2 linked regions of the Lytechinus pictus genome follow. The protein of the gene in region 1 interacts with the protein of each later gene in a biochemical or structural test. Links are inferred from orthologs where the notes say so. Each region holds a gene or a part of one and is shown in the gene's direction. Other genes may lie near its edges.

Region 1 (8,241 bases):
AATCGACAGTTTTGTTGGTATTTGAAAGGCTACGCGTAGACAAAATGGTAATTGAGTGATTACATAATGTTTCCCCATTACACAGGTGACATAACATGAGAAATTTGGATTACGTAATAAATTCTTTTGTTGTAGACTATAAAAGCCTATGCATATGGTATTCTGTCCCTTTCCCTGATTTAGCACTGTATATAAGAAGGTTGCATTTTTTCGAGTTCCGGCCTTGTACCGCGTTTGAAATAAAAATCCGTAGAGACGTTCCCTGGACTATGCCTGGTCCAACGGCAACAGCAACACGCGAGAGAGTGGTAGCACTGCGACAGGAGGGCAACAAGCAGACTGATATCGCAGAAGTCCTAGGGATATATCACAGAGTGCAGTCTCTAAGACCCTGAAACGTCAACGTGAGGCGGGGAATGTGCGGCCACGGAAATCTCCAGGACGTCCCAGATTGACCACAAGAAGAGATGATCGCCAACTGTTGAATTTCAGCCGCAGAAACCGGAAATTGCCCACGAGCCGTCTTCGTCGCTTGTGGAGGAGATATCATGGGATCAACGTTTCCCGGTCAACCGTTAATCGCAGATTGCTCCAACATGGTTACCGAGCACGACGGTTGACCAAATATCCACGCCTGTCTGTTCTCCACAGAGTAGCTCGTCTTCTTTGGGCTAGGGAGAGCACAGAAGGCTTCATCCAGAACATTGGCAACATGTGGTCTTTACGGACGAGAGCCGGTTCATCCTTGACCGAAAGGATGGGAGACAACGAGTTCGTCGATTAGCCGGGGAAAACCTTTGCGATGAATGTATCCACGAGATGACTCAAGGCGGAGGCGGCTCAGTGATGATATGGGCCGGCATCGATATGGAGGGAAAACGCCACTGGTGGTACGTTCCGGACGGAAACGTCAACGCCGCCGCCTACAGGGATATATCTTGGAGTTCCATTGTCTTCCATATGCAAGACGAGTGTATGGGCACAATTTCCGACTGCAGGATGACAATTAACGCTAATCGACCACACAGGGCCGCTGCAGTAAGGGAATTCCTGGAGGCAGAGGGCGTCGTACAGTTGCCATGGCTAGTGTTCTATACAGGGACACTAGCCATGGCCAGCTTGTTCATCGGATATGAACCCCATAGAGCATGCATGGGATGCCCTAGGCCGAGCCATCAACGACAGAGAGGTCATTCCCCAAAATCTGCAGGAGTTGGCAGATGCTCTGAGGGAAGAATGGGACGCTATGCCTGTTGATGTCATCAACAAGCTAGTGGACAGCATGCCACGACGTCTGCATGCGCTGGTTCGTGCGGGTTCGTGCCAGGGGTGGACATACCCGATACTAGTGACTGAGTAAGAACAATGACTCAAGTTTGATGCAAATTTGTCCATGACATCACAAAAAAGAAGTCATCTGGAAAACTGAGAGAGATTGAAATTAAATATCTCATGATCCTTTAATTTACTGTATATTGTCGTCATTGTTGTTCTATGATCATGACATCCATCGCTTAGGACATAAACTTGAAAAATATCACTGTCAAACGTGTGTAAAAGGCAGAATAATAAAGTAAAGTGGTTATCATGCACCATAAATGCCATATTCGAATCATGTTGTAATAATTACGCTGTGAAAATTTGGTGAAAGAAAATATTCTACCTTTATGACCAACAGTGTATATACATATATATATATATTGGCGAAGAAGCTCAAAAAGCATTGAAGCTAGAGACGTAGCCTGGATTTCTTCAACTTTTATTAGTACAAGCTTTCGGCCATTTAGTTGGGCCTTCTTCAGGTATCTGAAGATGTAAAATACATAATGGCTTTACAATTACCATGCATATATTTTGATTAATTTACTAAATATAGGTATATCTTAAAAGAAAATGTTTTACATCGGTAATGTTTAATTAGGATTATCCAATAGCTATTAAAATCAATAATAAAAGTTGAAGAAATCCAGGCTACGTCTCTAGCTTCATTGTATTTTTAGCTTCTTCGCCAATATATTACTCACTGAAGCACCCACGCAATGTTTAGGTCCTTGCTCATCACAATTTTATATATATATATATACATTTACATATATATATATATACATACATGCTAACATACATATTTATTTATATATAGGCCTGTGTGGGTGGGTTGTGTGATTGAGCGCCTTTGGAACGTTGATTCATGATTTTGCCCCCCCCCAATCTGAAAAATGGATCGACGCCCCTGCCTTAGACCACTCGGCCACGGACATTGGCAGATATTGGTCGATATTGGTCGACATTGGCTCACGTCAGCTTGCTATAGCTGGGCCGGGGGGGGGGGGGGGGCTGGGGCTGGCGGGGCCAGCTCGGCCCCCTTGGATCCGCGCCTGGTGATTGCGACCAATTGCGACCATTATTGCATAAAATTGAGCTATGATAGACTCCATACACAATGTTATATGCCGTCCATCTTTCTTCCCGTTCTTTATTTTCAATCCTCGGCAGCCCAATCGTGTTATTAAGTTCTCTTTTTTTTTCTTGACGGTCTCTTTTCTTCATTTTCCAATTTAGTTTTTGGCTCATACCATTCCATTCTACCTTCATTTTCCACTTTTGTTTGCCATTTTCGTCATCTTTTTTCATATGATCATGCTAATGCATTAGTATTTCGGGATGGTTTGTTCTTTCCCACCTGTTCCTTCCGGGACCTGTTCTCCTTTCCTTCCTTTTGCCGCTGTCCTTCCGTTTTCCTTAAAAAAAATGTTTTTATTTAATAGTTTTCTTTTCACCTTTCCCTTTTTCAGTTTTCTTTTCTTTTTTTTCCTTTTCCCTTTTTTTTCTCCCTTTACTCGTTTATTGAAAAAGTGCGAGCGCGAAGCGCGAGCTTTTTTATTTCATGTATTTTGTCCTAAAATTTAAACATTGTGGGCAATGTTTGTGATTCTAAACGAGATGTGTATCCAACTAAATCTTACTGTGAGCGCGAAGCGCGAGCAGAAATTTTTATATACGTTTTGATATGATCAGAAACGGATCTAGTAACGGCTGCTTGTTAGCCATGAAGACGTTACATATTCCAATTATTAAACAATGCGAGCGCGAAGCGCGAGCTGAAAATTTTGAAATTTCTACCTGAAGAATGGAAATTCTAAGCACTTTTTGTAATCATGAAAAGGATAAGTAACTAAATAATTGATGCGAGCGCAAAGCGCGAGCGGAGAAATCGAGATTTACACCTAAAAATGGGACACTCTATAAATCATGAAAAGGATGAGTAATTGGAAATCTTTATTAATAATGCAAGCGCAAAGCGCGAGTAGAATTTTTTTTTAAATATACGTTTTGATCTGATAAAAAAAGGATCTGTTAACGGCTGTTTGTTAGCCATGAAGACGTTTTATATTTCAACTATCAAACAATACGAGCGCGAAGCGCGAGCTTCAAATTTTGACATTTCTACCTGAAGAATGGAAATTCTAAGCATTTTTTGTAATCATGAAAAGGATAAGTAACTAAATAATTGATGCGAGCTTGAAGCGCGAGCGGAAAAAATCTGAGATTTACACCTAAAAATGGGACACTCTATTCAGGTTTTGTAAATCATGGAAAGGATGTGTAAGTGGAAATTTTCCTACATTAATAATAAATTTTTTGATAATTTGTGATCTGAAACTGGATAATGATTTATATAGAGAACAAGATGCGTATCGGAGTTTGGGTATTCTAAATAACTTTTTTATCATGAAAATCAATAAAGCGAGCGCGAAGCGCGGGCTTGAAATATTTGATATTCCGATCGGAAAAAGTGTCGATTTAAGCTCTGTTGCGAGGTGGAAATGGATCACAGTTAGAAAAAAGAGCTGATATGTTTCATTATTATTACTTTGAATTCTGAAATAGGACCGGGACATTCTATAAGGACATTATCTTCCTATTTCTCTTCCTAAGCGAAATTTAACTTGTCGATATTACATTCTGAAAAAGGGACAATTAGATTATTGAATTGATATCTTATTCATTAATTTAATAAGCCTAATGAGAGCGCAAAATCTGCTGATATCATGGCCTGAAAACTGAACATTTAAAGTATTTTAGTAATTATGAATAAGATGCATGAGTTAATATCTTTTCAACAATAAATGCGAGCGGAAATTTTTGATGAACTGTCATGAAATGGGGATTTTAAGTAGTTTGTTTAGAATTAAAATTTAGATAAACATAACTAACCAATCAAAATGCGAGCGTGCAGCTTTAGCTGATACACTTTGACAATTTGACCTGAATAGGGATATTTTGAGAACTTTATGGAATACAGGAAAATAATAGGTATCTTACAAATCAAGTTTTGCGAGCGCGCAGCGCGAGCATAAAATGTTCAGACCATAAAATATTCAGACCATAAAACATAAATTTTTACAGAGCACTTTAAAAAATCAATTTGTAAATCAAACAAAATAATGAAAGTTCGATTTCCGAGATGAAATATGTTTTGTATATTGACTTCAAAATTTGATATTTGAAGCTCCATATTGAGCAAGATATGTAAATCACCTAAAAGGCAATGCGAACGCGAAGCGCGAGCGAAAATTTTATATAGTGACATGAAATATTTTTTTGATAATTTTTTAAGTCTTCCCCTCATCTCATTTTATTCACTCGTCTTCCTCCTCTTATGTTTCCCCGTCTTTTTTCTCCTCTCTTTTCTCTTCTTTTTCTTTTTTCTTTCTTTCCCCCTTTTTTCTTTTTTTTGCTCCACCACAGGGCTCCACCAATAGGGGGGGGGGCCCGGCCGGGCCCCTCGGCCCTCCCCCGGATCCGCCTATGCGTATAGGCCCATATCAAAGCAAATTACGATTAATCAAATTCTAAATTTTCCCATTTTGATTCTCTCTCCCCTTATTTTTTACCAGTAAAAGGGGGGGGGGGGGTGGGAGTGGCACGTAGTTACGCCACTGGTTGCATCGGGAGCTCGTAGGCCCTCGAGAGGGCCATGTTAGTTTCTGCTCCATCCACTGCATTATACCGGTACAGATAATACATAGCTCCATGATCGTATTGAGGTGCAAATTCGCTAACGCTGCTCGAGATAGCGCGCGCTGCATGAACAGATCGAGCGCCATTTATCCATGACCCATATCATGCCAGTGCAGTAGTAGTCGAATCGTCGACGAAGCGCGCCCTCGATCATTTGAAGAGCTATTTCCCAGACTTTTCGCTGGAGTACTTGAAGTACTGACTGGGAAACTTCTATTATTCCGTTTTTTATACTCGAGAGCGCATACCGTACTCCAGTTGAACAGTGCATATGGTAAGGTAAATTAGACATTGTTTGTTATTTTTACAATTTTGTGAGTGTTATCAAGATGATTCTTGCAAGTTGTTTTCGTGAATTCCGGCTTCGTGTTGCGAAATAGTCGGCTTGCCATTGTTCAATTCATTCTGATCGTGTGCTCTCTCTCGTACAGATCGTGAGTACCGGTAAGGCGGTATACTGTCTGTGGTTTGGATGTTCACGCCAGGTCTAAAGCAAAATGCCATTGCTTCGTCGTCGAGAATTTCGACCTGTGAAATTACCAAAAGATCTGAAACCAACAGAGGAAGTTTTCCTGTGTCGACTTACAAATGAAATCTTCAGAGATTATGAGTAAGTAATAATATTATGACTATAGTATGATACTGATGATAGATCAACATCAGTCTGCTAAATTTAAACTTTATTAAACTTAAACTTAAAGTAAGACACCTGACCGTCCTCTAAATAAAATTAATGTTAATTTTGTAGACTAAAACTAGTAAAAGTAAAACTAAGTCCTGATGCGATGTGTATGATGGGGTGTCCAAACTTCGCGCACTTTTCAAAAATATTCATCGGGCTTAAATCTTTTCACAAAATATTCGTAATTTATACAAAACCAATTCAAGAAATAGTTACCACATTGACGGCAAGATCGTAAACTATAAAATCATGGACGAAAATATAAAGAAGGTCAAAGGGATTCGCCGGTATCGCGATCTCAAAATTCTATTCCGATCGGCGAATGCGCGCTGTGCTGGAAAAGCGTTCAGAAAAAGTGTGACCTAACTTCGCGGACCAAAGTTTTTGTGGACATTTAAACAAAAACTCAAGCTCAAAAAGTGAAATATTTATATCAGATTGATGGCAAAATGCTATAGAATAGGTTAGTACCAAATTTAACTCACATTTTTGATGATTTCTGCTTGCGAAATGGTGATATCGTGATGCTTGTTGAGAATATCAGAATTCTTCAAAACGGGCGCCAACGGTGACAAATTTGCCGATCTTTTGCCAATATTTTCATGAATACTGAACTCATCTTAAAGTAACTTACACAAAAGGGTAATTTTAGGTCGCTTTTCACGTTGATGAAGTCAGATTTTAAGGATATTGGCTAGTTTTTGAGATAATGACCGTCCGCGAAGTATGGACACGCGCGAAGTTTGGACTCACTGCCATACTGTTTCAGTGTTTGGTTTCTTTACATGTTCATGCATATATGCACACGCACAGTGCAGTGTAGTCAATCAATGTGTCCATGTTATTGTTACTGTTGACTGTTGTTAGCTTGCAATGCATTTGCAGAGGCAAAACTAACTTTAGTACTATACTATCTATAGTAGGATAGATCTACATGTAGATCAAACGATTGACGTTAGATCTAGAATCTAGATCTACTTCAGTACTTGATTCTTCTACTAAATTGTGGGTTCTCTTGCCTCCTTGAGTCCTTCATTCAATCAATCTTGAACTTGTGTAATTGTAAAGATTTTTTGCAGGTTTTACTTAAAACGTGCATAATGAGCACCCTGCTTTGGCATGTTTGGTGTGTTACTGTTAACCAATCATGCCAATTGTGAACTTTAATTTTAACTTTTAGTATACTATAATTAGTGTAGATTTTACTTTTTTAAAATCAAGGCTATTGAAAAGAGTATTCATGGATAAGAACTACTTTTAGGGCTTAGCCTTAGCCTAGGCCTGGCCTAGACTACACATGATTTAGTAGGTGATGTATACATTTGGGCTGGGTAATTGCATTACTGTTTTGCTCGAACTTTGTATGGACCAATTACATGTATCCATCATGAGCAGTCTGAACTGAGTGTAGATAAGTTTTCTCTTATAAACTTTTGACTTGTTTTGTTTCCATAATTTTGATTTAACGTATTCAACAATTTTTGGTTGGTCAGGACAAATATGCCCAGCAGGCAGCTGCAATTTAGTCTGCCACTCTGCCAGACCAAGGAGGTTTCAAATGAGATGGAGTAACAGCAAATAAAATCTCTTTGAACAAGGTTAAAAACCGCCAGCAGAAAGTATGTCAGGCATGCACTTTGCTCAACATCTCTTGCAATTGTGTAGACAAATGATTCCCGCATGACTCTGCAGCTATAGGTCATACATAAAGGGGTAGTATGCTTTTGTGATGATAATTACTTTTTCGCCGCATCTTGTTCTGGTTATATGTGTAGTACATAATTCGGAGGCATGCGGAAATAAACTATGCAATATGTCCTGAAATATGACTCAAATTTGCTCGACTGGGCATGTGCGGGCACTCATCTGGCATTTATACAGTAATGAACAACAATATTTCACCGACCACATTTTTTCATTTTTTCAAATTTTCATTCGCCGCAAACGATCGGAAAAGTGTTAAAATCTGGTTTCAGTAAAGGTCAAATTCTTTTTTTTTTTACTAATTAAAGGTTAATTGATATAATCTGGGAAAATATCTCATTGTATTAGTGCTTGGTTATTGATGTTTTGTCATGCATTCAAATTTCAGTTTGTTTATTAATATGAAAGATGGAAAATTGATACAAATGGATATTCGTAAAATTTCACCCCTTGGATTTCTTCACTGAAAATGGCGGCTTCGAAGGCGGACATCAAAAGGTCCTTATTGCCGTTCTTTCTTTTGTGCTTCCTTAGAAATGAACAGCTGCTTGAATAAATTTGTTGCCTGTTGCAACTCCAGTCATAGAATCTTCTTGGCCAGACTAAGTGAATATCTAGTCAAGTTTCTTGTTATATTGTTGAAATTAAGTATTGGCAGGACCAATATCAATAGAATAAAACAGTATTATCAATTTATCATAACTGAAAAATAATAGCCACCAGTCATTACAAGAACAGGATTTGTACCCATGCCATACATGTATTTCTAGTATGTACATGTACAAGTTTAATCTACCTCTAGACCGCAAGGAGTTGACAGCAAAATTGTTCGT
Region 2 (8,155 bases), on another chromosome or scaffold:
CTGAAATCTTTTATTTAAACTGCTGTCCTATACGATACTTTTTTTTACGAAACGTAAATCATGCATTGTTTTGAAATTTGTTTCTTTTTAGAGAAAACTTTTCGAAAGGCTTTTTTCCCTTGATGATTGAGAGGAGAACTTATTGAATTTTAAGTGGTTAACCTAAACTCGGAAAGTATCCTTCTTAGTTTTGTTTACTTTGTTTTAAATGTTCGTATTTTGTTATTATAAATCATTCAGGGAACTTCATCATGTTAAAGCAGCGCAATAAGACCACTGACGAAGTCACGATGACATGAAAAAGACGTAGTGAATCGATGAATAAATAAATGAATTATGAAATAAACCGATTATGGGGGAAAGCAAAATGCAATGAGAATATTAGCCCATACAAAAATGTAAAATATGACATAGCAACTATATGCTGCATTTAAACAATTTCATTAAACAAAACGGGTTTTTAACGGTCGATTAAAGTTTATCCAACATGATTGTGTAGTCTTCCAATATGATGTAAACGGCGTTGAACGTGTGGGGGAATTTGTATCGAATGAAATAATTGTTACTCTGTAAGCAGGTACGGGAAGATCGTATATGGTTAAGAATAAGTGTAAGTTTCTTATTAAAAAAATAAATGAATTTGATGTACATGTGATTTTATTGTTTTCTTTGTGTGTGTGAGTGTGTATATTTTTTAAATATTGGTTTCTTCATTTTGTTTCTGCAGTGGCCGCGAATGTGAGCCAAAACAGACTTGATGGGGGCATAATGTGGAAAAAAATAGCCTCTTTAAAATGAACATCCAATTTGTGATAGAGTGTGACATATTGAACAATTAATATCACATTTCACCCCTTTCCTGTACCGTTTTTGTTGTTGTTGTTGTTGTTCTCCAGGGGGGGGGGGGTGGATCAGGATGGGATCAAAGTGATGGGTTGCCGGGATGGCCGGGTTCGGAGATGTGAGAGAAGGGAAAATAGAGAGAAGGAAAGAGAGCTGAGAGACATGTGAGAGGGAGAGAGAGAGAGAGAGAAAGAAAGAAAGAAATTCCGACAGGGGAGAGGGTGAGAAGGAGAGGGCGGATTGGCGGATTTTATATGACGGCCATCAGAACACGGAAAGTTAATTGATACAAAACAACTTTCACCGTGAAGAAAATTATAGTGCTAAAATGTGCCTAGACCAAAGAGATATTGACAATGAAAAAGAAATCTTTGGCTTTTGAATGAGGGCAATAAATAAGGATCAATCCGGAAAGAATGACCCTTAATCATCAAAAATAACTTTTAGAATTCTTTGTTTTGCTGCATGAGTTGGCCTATATGGACATGCAGTGCGCTGCGTGTACTGTAGTAATTTACATGAAAAAGTAAACTGCGAGTTTTCTTTGTGTAGGATAACAAGAGATGGCGCTGTTCACAATCGATAGCGGTTTTTACATTCGATTGCGATTTTCGATACTTTGACCATGGGTCGTAATAGGTCCATGCTTTGACCAAGGACCTACTAGTATTTGGTTCTGAACAATATAGGCACCTAAGACCGCCACTTTCGGTAGTCGCATTTTTATAAGGGCAAAATTTTTGTTTTTAAATGAAAAGTTGAAGGCTTTGGAAAAAAAAAAAGCTAGACTGCAGTCAGGCACAGATCAAGAGGAGGGTAAACGATGTCGTACCAGGCTTTGGTGAGCCAAAATAAGGATTCTTTTTGACGGATTCCGGAAATAAGCAAGGGAAGTATTATTCTCGTTGCTAATGTTATTTTAGGGGGTAAGAATAAAGGGTAATTTTCAGTATTTTTTTCTTTTGGTGACTGTGGTCAAAGTGTTATCTTTTCGGAATGAGATCCCTTTTCTCAGTCTTAACTGTGACAATTTTCTTTAGTGTCATTAAAAAAAACCAGATTTTTTTGTACATGCATCGGCCAATGCATGGGCATGCCGTCAAAGCTGAGTTGCCGCTCACTGATTGAATGAAAGGTGAGAATTCTTCATTGGTGATTGGTGGCGATGCTGATTTCTAGGTGACCTCCGATGACCTCCTAATTTGGAGGGATATGGGAAGAAATAGGCCTATACCGTCATTGCAAAGTTGAGTGAAGATGAATTTGCATATAAAAAAAATTGCATGTAACTAATTGCAAACCCACCACAGAGAAGTTTACCCTGATGACAACCAGTTTACATTGGGTTTGATGTAAAAGCAGACAAAAATATTGCAGAAAAATATCGGCACTCCTATAAAAAAAAATTTTATGATGATCCTTCAAGGAATAAAAAGAGCTATGAATTTCTTGTGAAAGAAGGCAAAATCCAGACTGGTATGTGGTATCAGAGTTTATTCCAAGAAAACCAACAGCCTCGCTGTGGAACACAAGTGATAAAAATACATTTGTAAATACATATTGATAAAAAAATGACTTAAGTACTGCATTAATTCCAATTTCCATGTCATCAGTTGTTTCTATAAACAGGTTATACAATATGGTTATAAGTCACAAAATGCCATATATTATTCCTACATGCACACATGAGGGTTGAGCAAAATATATATATATATCTAAAATATAACCCCATCACATTGCAGTATGAATATATCAATTTAAAATAGTTCCTGGAGACATTGCATAATAACATGACATCTTTTATTGCAATAAAATAATTCCGATAAAAAATAAACTCACCGCCCACACTTACCCATTCCTCTAGCTGTCCTTTATAGGCATATACATACAAGCATTTATATCATTTATTGAAAACCATGCATGTGTTGAGCTAAATAGGAAAAAAATGAACATCATGGACCAGGGGAGTGTTTCATGAAAGGACATGTCTGACGTTTTATCCAAGTCCCATTTTATCCGACAGTTACCATAGGTGCAGTGCTTGTCAGCCAATCAGAATAAAGGAAAGATGTCAGATCTGACAACTTGTCAGACAAAAATATTGATGAAACGCTCCCCTGATCTGACGGTATTATCGAAAATAATTATGTTAAACAAAACAATTATTCAAAAAAAAATTACATCAACATAAACCAGTAAAAACTTAACTTGTCACGTTCATGTTATGCTAACCAATCAGATAATGCACTGTGAAATTATAACAATTGCAAAGTCGGAACTTCAGAGGCATTATAGAATTATTGACTATAATGATCCCATGGCCATGGGCATCATTATTGAGCAATAGTAGAACACATAATCAATAATTATTAGTCCATGTCAAGCATAGAGGGATGCTTGAATGCATCCATGGAAGGAATTTTGAAGAAAAAAAAACTATTCATTTTTTTTTAACTAAGCCAGTTCTGTAAGACCAATAACCGTATAGCCAATTTCACATTTCAACATTTAGATATTTGTGACGTCAATATGAGAGTATAGCTCCCCCGAAAATGTCATTATAAATTTTCAGAGCATGCATGTTGTTGTTGTTGTCAGGTTGTTTATTTGGGTTTTAATGCGAAAACATTCAGGTGTGAATATTGATGCTTATTTAATTGATAATTCTTATTTTGTGGTTATCTTGGTGTGATAGATTTGTCAGCGCTGCTTTAAATGGAATTCATAGGAGATGACTGCTTATCACAATTGAACAGCAGATATTATACTCGGCATACGGGAATGTGCCGCTCTAAAATCATTCAATGAACAACCCCCCTTCCTTCGATCTTGAGTAATTTCTCTTTTTCTCGATTGGGAGAAAATTCTTAATATTGGGTACACTTTTTTGCCAAAATTACCCTTAAATCACCCTCCAAACCAAATCTTAGTAGACATGTACAACGCCCCCCCCCCCCCGTATAGTTCCGAAGCCCGTTCTGAGGACCCTCCTATTTACAATTAGCACGCTCCAAGGCCCCCGTTTTTTGTCTCGCCCGCGGCACACCCCTACCACTTTTTAGTCGAGTGCCCCCCCCCCCCACAAAAATCCCCTGAAAAGTGAAAAGGGTGCAAATTAACACAACAACATTTAATTACTCTGCCAATTTGTTATGTTGTGAGAATTTTCATACAACACTGAAGACATGCCGAGCAATAAAAAAATCCTTTGGATGACTTTGTAAATATTATTTTTCTCCTGCAACCCTATCTCTCTCTCCCACTGACATTCTGACTGATCGCGATACTTACCAAACGATACTTTTGTTTATCGTTGAATTGCGCGCGCTCATTTGCAGGTCATCTGGTGGTTTCCCTTTGCAATTTGCACGCGAGTACCCTTAATTTCGTGCAAAAATGGCTGATTTAGAGGAGAGAGAAGACACCCCTTCACCCCTTGGGAACCCGGTAAGTAATTGTTAACCATGATGATGCTATTATTGTTTAATTTTGTCGGTTTAAGTTTGTTTTATTTGGTCTTGAACTTAGCGGCGTTTTATTACCCGTCGTCATTTTCATTCATTTGTCTTGGTCGGTCCCATGTATTGGTTTGGGTGTAATGTATGTTTTGACATGATAAACACTGAACAAAAGAATTGTGATGACTGAATCTGATAACAAGATGTTGTTGACATTGATGAAATTGAGAGTTTGATGTTGCCGTTGTTGGAGAGTACTGTAGCTGTTACAGCTAAGCGAACAATGTCATCTCAAGTCATGATGATAGTACTGATAGGAGACGTCAATTTTTTTCTGATTCTTAGATAGGTACGCTACTCTAGCGCGAGAGGGCGCGATTTTCGCGTCATCATTTTCGCGTACGAAAATGGCGACAAGCTGCTTCGGGAGCCGGTGCGAGCAATAACGGCAAGCCCTACTTGAGTCTCCTGTCTAGGATGGTAAACGTATATCAATGGGAATGAAAACGATGACATCATCTTCCCAATGCATTCAGCTATACTGCACGGTAAGCTCTTGCGACGGAGGGTCGAGATCGGAACAAAAATTGCACTAAAACAGTCTGTAAGTACAGTTTATGCATCAAATCATCATTATATGTTATTTTCATGGAATTATCAGACATATTACGCTAAAAATACATATGCTACTCGAAAATTGAAGTCGTAAGCTTTCATTTCTTACCTCATTCATGGCAGCATTTCTTGCCACCATTTGCCACGGACGAATGTTAAACGCCCTTGCTATTTGTTTCGTGGGATTTTCGTGGGAAGTTTGGCGACGCGTTTCGCGGGCTAATTTATGGCGGCTGCTAGGGTTTTTGGTTGCCCGCGGTGTGTAGTCCTGCGCATTGGAATTTGTGTAGCAGACCGTCTACCGTGATATGTCTGGTATTTCTTTGATTTAAAAAAACTTTTTCTTTTTTATAAATTAGGAATTGAAAACCAGACACAAATGTAGAAATCAGAAATACATCCCACACTGACACATTCATTTTGATTGAATAAAATATTGAAAAAAAATGGCAAATGACGCAACAACTTTCTGAATCTTCTCGAACCTAATTTTAGCCTTTACTTTAGTCTTGATTTATTATTTGATGATTATATTCTGTTGAAAATTCATGTAACATGATTTCTTTTGGCCTAATAAAACTTAAATTTTTTATTATTTTAAAAATGAATGGCCTAGATCTAATTTAATTCATTATCATTTTAATTTTCTTTTGTTTTCATTTTTTTATTTTCATTCAGATTAATTTCTTACCTCCATTTGAGCATGGCAATACTTACTGATCTGAAGTCGAGGGGCCCAACAATGAACAGACTTGGGCTGCATGAGCCGTCGAATATCTGTGGTTCCAAGAAAGCGTGATGGAAATGCCGCCTTAAAAAAACCAACCCCACCTCTGCCTCTGGGCTTTGTTCTTGGCGATCCTGCATTCCATTCAGACTGCAACTTTAAGCAGGAATTGTTCTACCAACTACTTAATTATTCACAAATATGAATTGCAGCTTTTAAATTGACAAGAAAGAAACAATTGATTTATCTCACCCCCCCCCCAACTGTCTTCTAACATTTTCTATCGCCCCAAACTAACACTTTTTTTCTTGTATGTCTGTTTAAATATTTTTATTTAGACTTTATGTAATTTTTTCATGATTTATTTAAGAAGTATGAGCAAAAAAACAAACAATTTGGCACATGCAGTAGAGAAGAGAAGGAACATAGTGTTGAAAAAGGATACACATACAGATCTGAATATTAAAATAAATTTTAAAAAGAAATGACAAATCCACACTGACACATGAAAGTATTCATTTTATTTTTTTTCCTTGTTGGCATTGGTTACATTAATTAACTCCACATAAAAATATAAATTGGATATTTTAACAGTATTAATGAAGTTGCTCAATAAAATTTAAAATTAGGTATTCTCATTGGAGGTAATGGTTGATACAGGTGGGTGGGTGGACCTGCAGCCACTAGCGTACCTATGGGGGGGGGGGGCAGACTGCCCCCCCGACGAGTCACAACCCATGCAAGGGACGTATCCCTGCCCTCCCCCCCTGATGAGCCACCGGTGGCCCCCTCCTTTGAAGTTTAAGACCGAAAGTACGAAATCCTTTATTTGTGGTTGAAGACTTTTTTGCTTGTCAAATTTTTGGGCGGACGATTTTGCCCCCCCCCCCCCCCTGTGGAAAATCCTAGGTACGCTACTGCCTGCAGCTCTATTGTTTTATTAGATTTTCATTTTTTATTGCTGGGGGGGGGGGGGTATTATGTAGAGCTGAAGCCAAATGATCTTATGAGGCAAGATTCAGTGTACAGCTCAATATGGTGCATGTAAAGTGATTTATTAAACTTTTGAAATATCAATTAAGAACTGGAATGATGAATGATATGAATATAAGAAATATATTAAATGCATGTAAAGTGATTTATTAAACTTTTGAAATATCAATTAAGAACTGGAATGATGAATGTTATGAATATAAGAAATCTATTATATGCTAGTTCATCACAACTTTAGCTGGATCTTGCTGCAGAAAGTGCATCGTGTAGTTCTACAAATATCTCTGGTGAGAGGCAGTTTGGCAGAGCGGATGCAATGCTTCATAGGGCCCCTAACATTTCTGTGGTAAGGTCGAATCCAAACTGATGTTTTCATCAAATGATACAGCCTCCTGGCTACAAAAATTTCCTGTAGATGAAAGAGAAAACAAAATAATGAATGCAATGAAATTGGGAAAAAAGTGAGGCTAGAGGAGCAAAAACAAAAGCAAATGGTTGTAAAGTTAGTACAGGAGAGGAACAAAATGAGAAGAAAGGAACTCACAGAAAAGGAAACAAAACAGAGAGACAAACTTGAGACTAGCTCCTTTAAAAAAAGTTCTGTATGGTGTACTATGGATCTGTAAAAATATTTTAAAATTATGTAAAGTTTCAAGGATTGAGCATGCATAGGAAATCACGTAAAGGCAAGGATATCAAGTCACGAATAAAAACAAAAAATGAGGGGGGGGGGAATGGGAATTACATCACCCCCCCCCCACCCCGCCTCTCCAAAAAAAAAAAAAAAACGACTTTAATAACTTGTCAAAACTCTATCTAGTATCAGCTTATGTTATTATCCTTTTTAATGTTATTGTTAGGGATCGAGAGAAAGGATGAACGCGGGGGGGGGGGTGCATTTTTCGGATTCATACTTTCAGGCATCAGTGTACTGAAGGGGAACATTTAACATAGGACTACAAAAAATTGCGGTGGACAGACAAGAAACAAGAAATGATGATTAAAATGAAAGAAAAAATTCTCGATCTCAAAACAACTTGAAAAAAGAAAGATGCAAAACCAAATGTTATCAACTCACTTACATATTATATTTGAAATCCATCCCAATGGTCTTCCATGTCGTAATTGTGCACTGTAATTCAGATAATCTAGTTAAAACATGTGAAATTAACTTCAAGTCTCAAATCAATCGTCTTGCACACTGTGCCTTGCATGCAAAACAACAAAATACTCCGATATATGCGTATCATGAACGCACATGCATATTTATGAGCGCCGCGAAAATGACCAATCTCATTCACAAATGATGCGCACTTACGCTTCGTCACCATGCCGCGAGAAGCGTTTATGCGCGATGTAAAATCTCCGCCCCGAATTGGCAATCCCCGAATGCGCATGCGCGGTGGTGATTGATACTCGATGGTCGACAATTCGTTCGGAATGGATAATACTTAGAAATCATTTCTTTAAAAAATCATAACTTGAGTTATTCTTCATCATATGTCTTAATCAATGCATC

Evidence for each region. The genes of interacting proteins can lie anywhere in the genome.
Region 2: the proteins of bromodomain adjacent to zinc finger domain protein 1A-like (region 1) and SWI/SNF-related matrix-associated actin-dependent regulator of chromatin subfamily A member 5-like form a complex in vitro, tested with the Drosophila melanogaster proteins (3 studies listed by BioGRID). The link is inferred for Lytechinus pictus from reciprocal best matches to the Drosophila melanogaster genes Acf and Iswi.

The regions. Positions count from the first base shown.
Region 1 is NC_087251.1:554,853-563,093, reverse strand, and holds the start of bromodomain adjacent to zinc finger domain protein 1A-like, read left to right. Parts: upstream 1-5,015; 5' UTR 5,016-5,296; exon of another isoform or gene 5,297-5,301; intron 5,302-5,453; 5' UTR 5,454-5,519; coding exon 5,520-5,632; intron 5,633-8,241.
Region 2 is NC_087249.1:49,687,406-49,695,560, forward strand, and holds the start of SWI/SNF-related matrix-associated actin-dependent regulator of chromatin subfamily A member 5-like, read left to right. Parts: upstream 1-4,774; 5' UTR 4,775-4,827; coding exon 4,828-4,905; intron 4,906-8,155.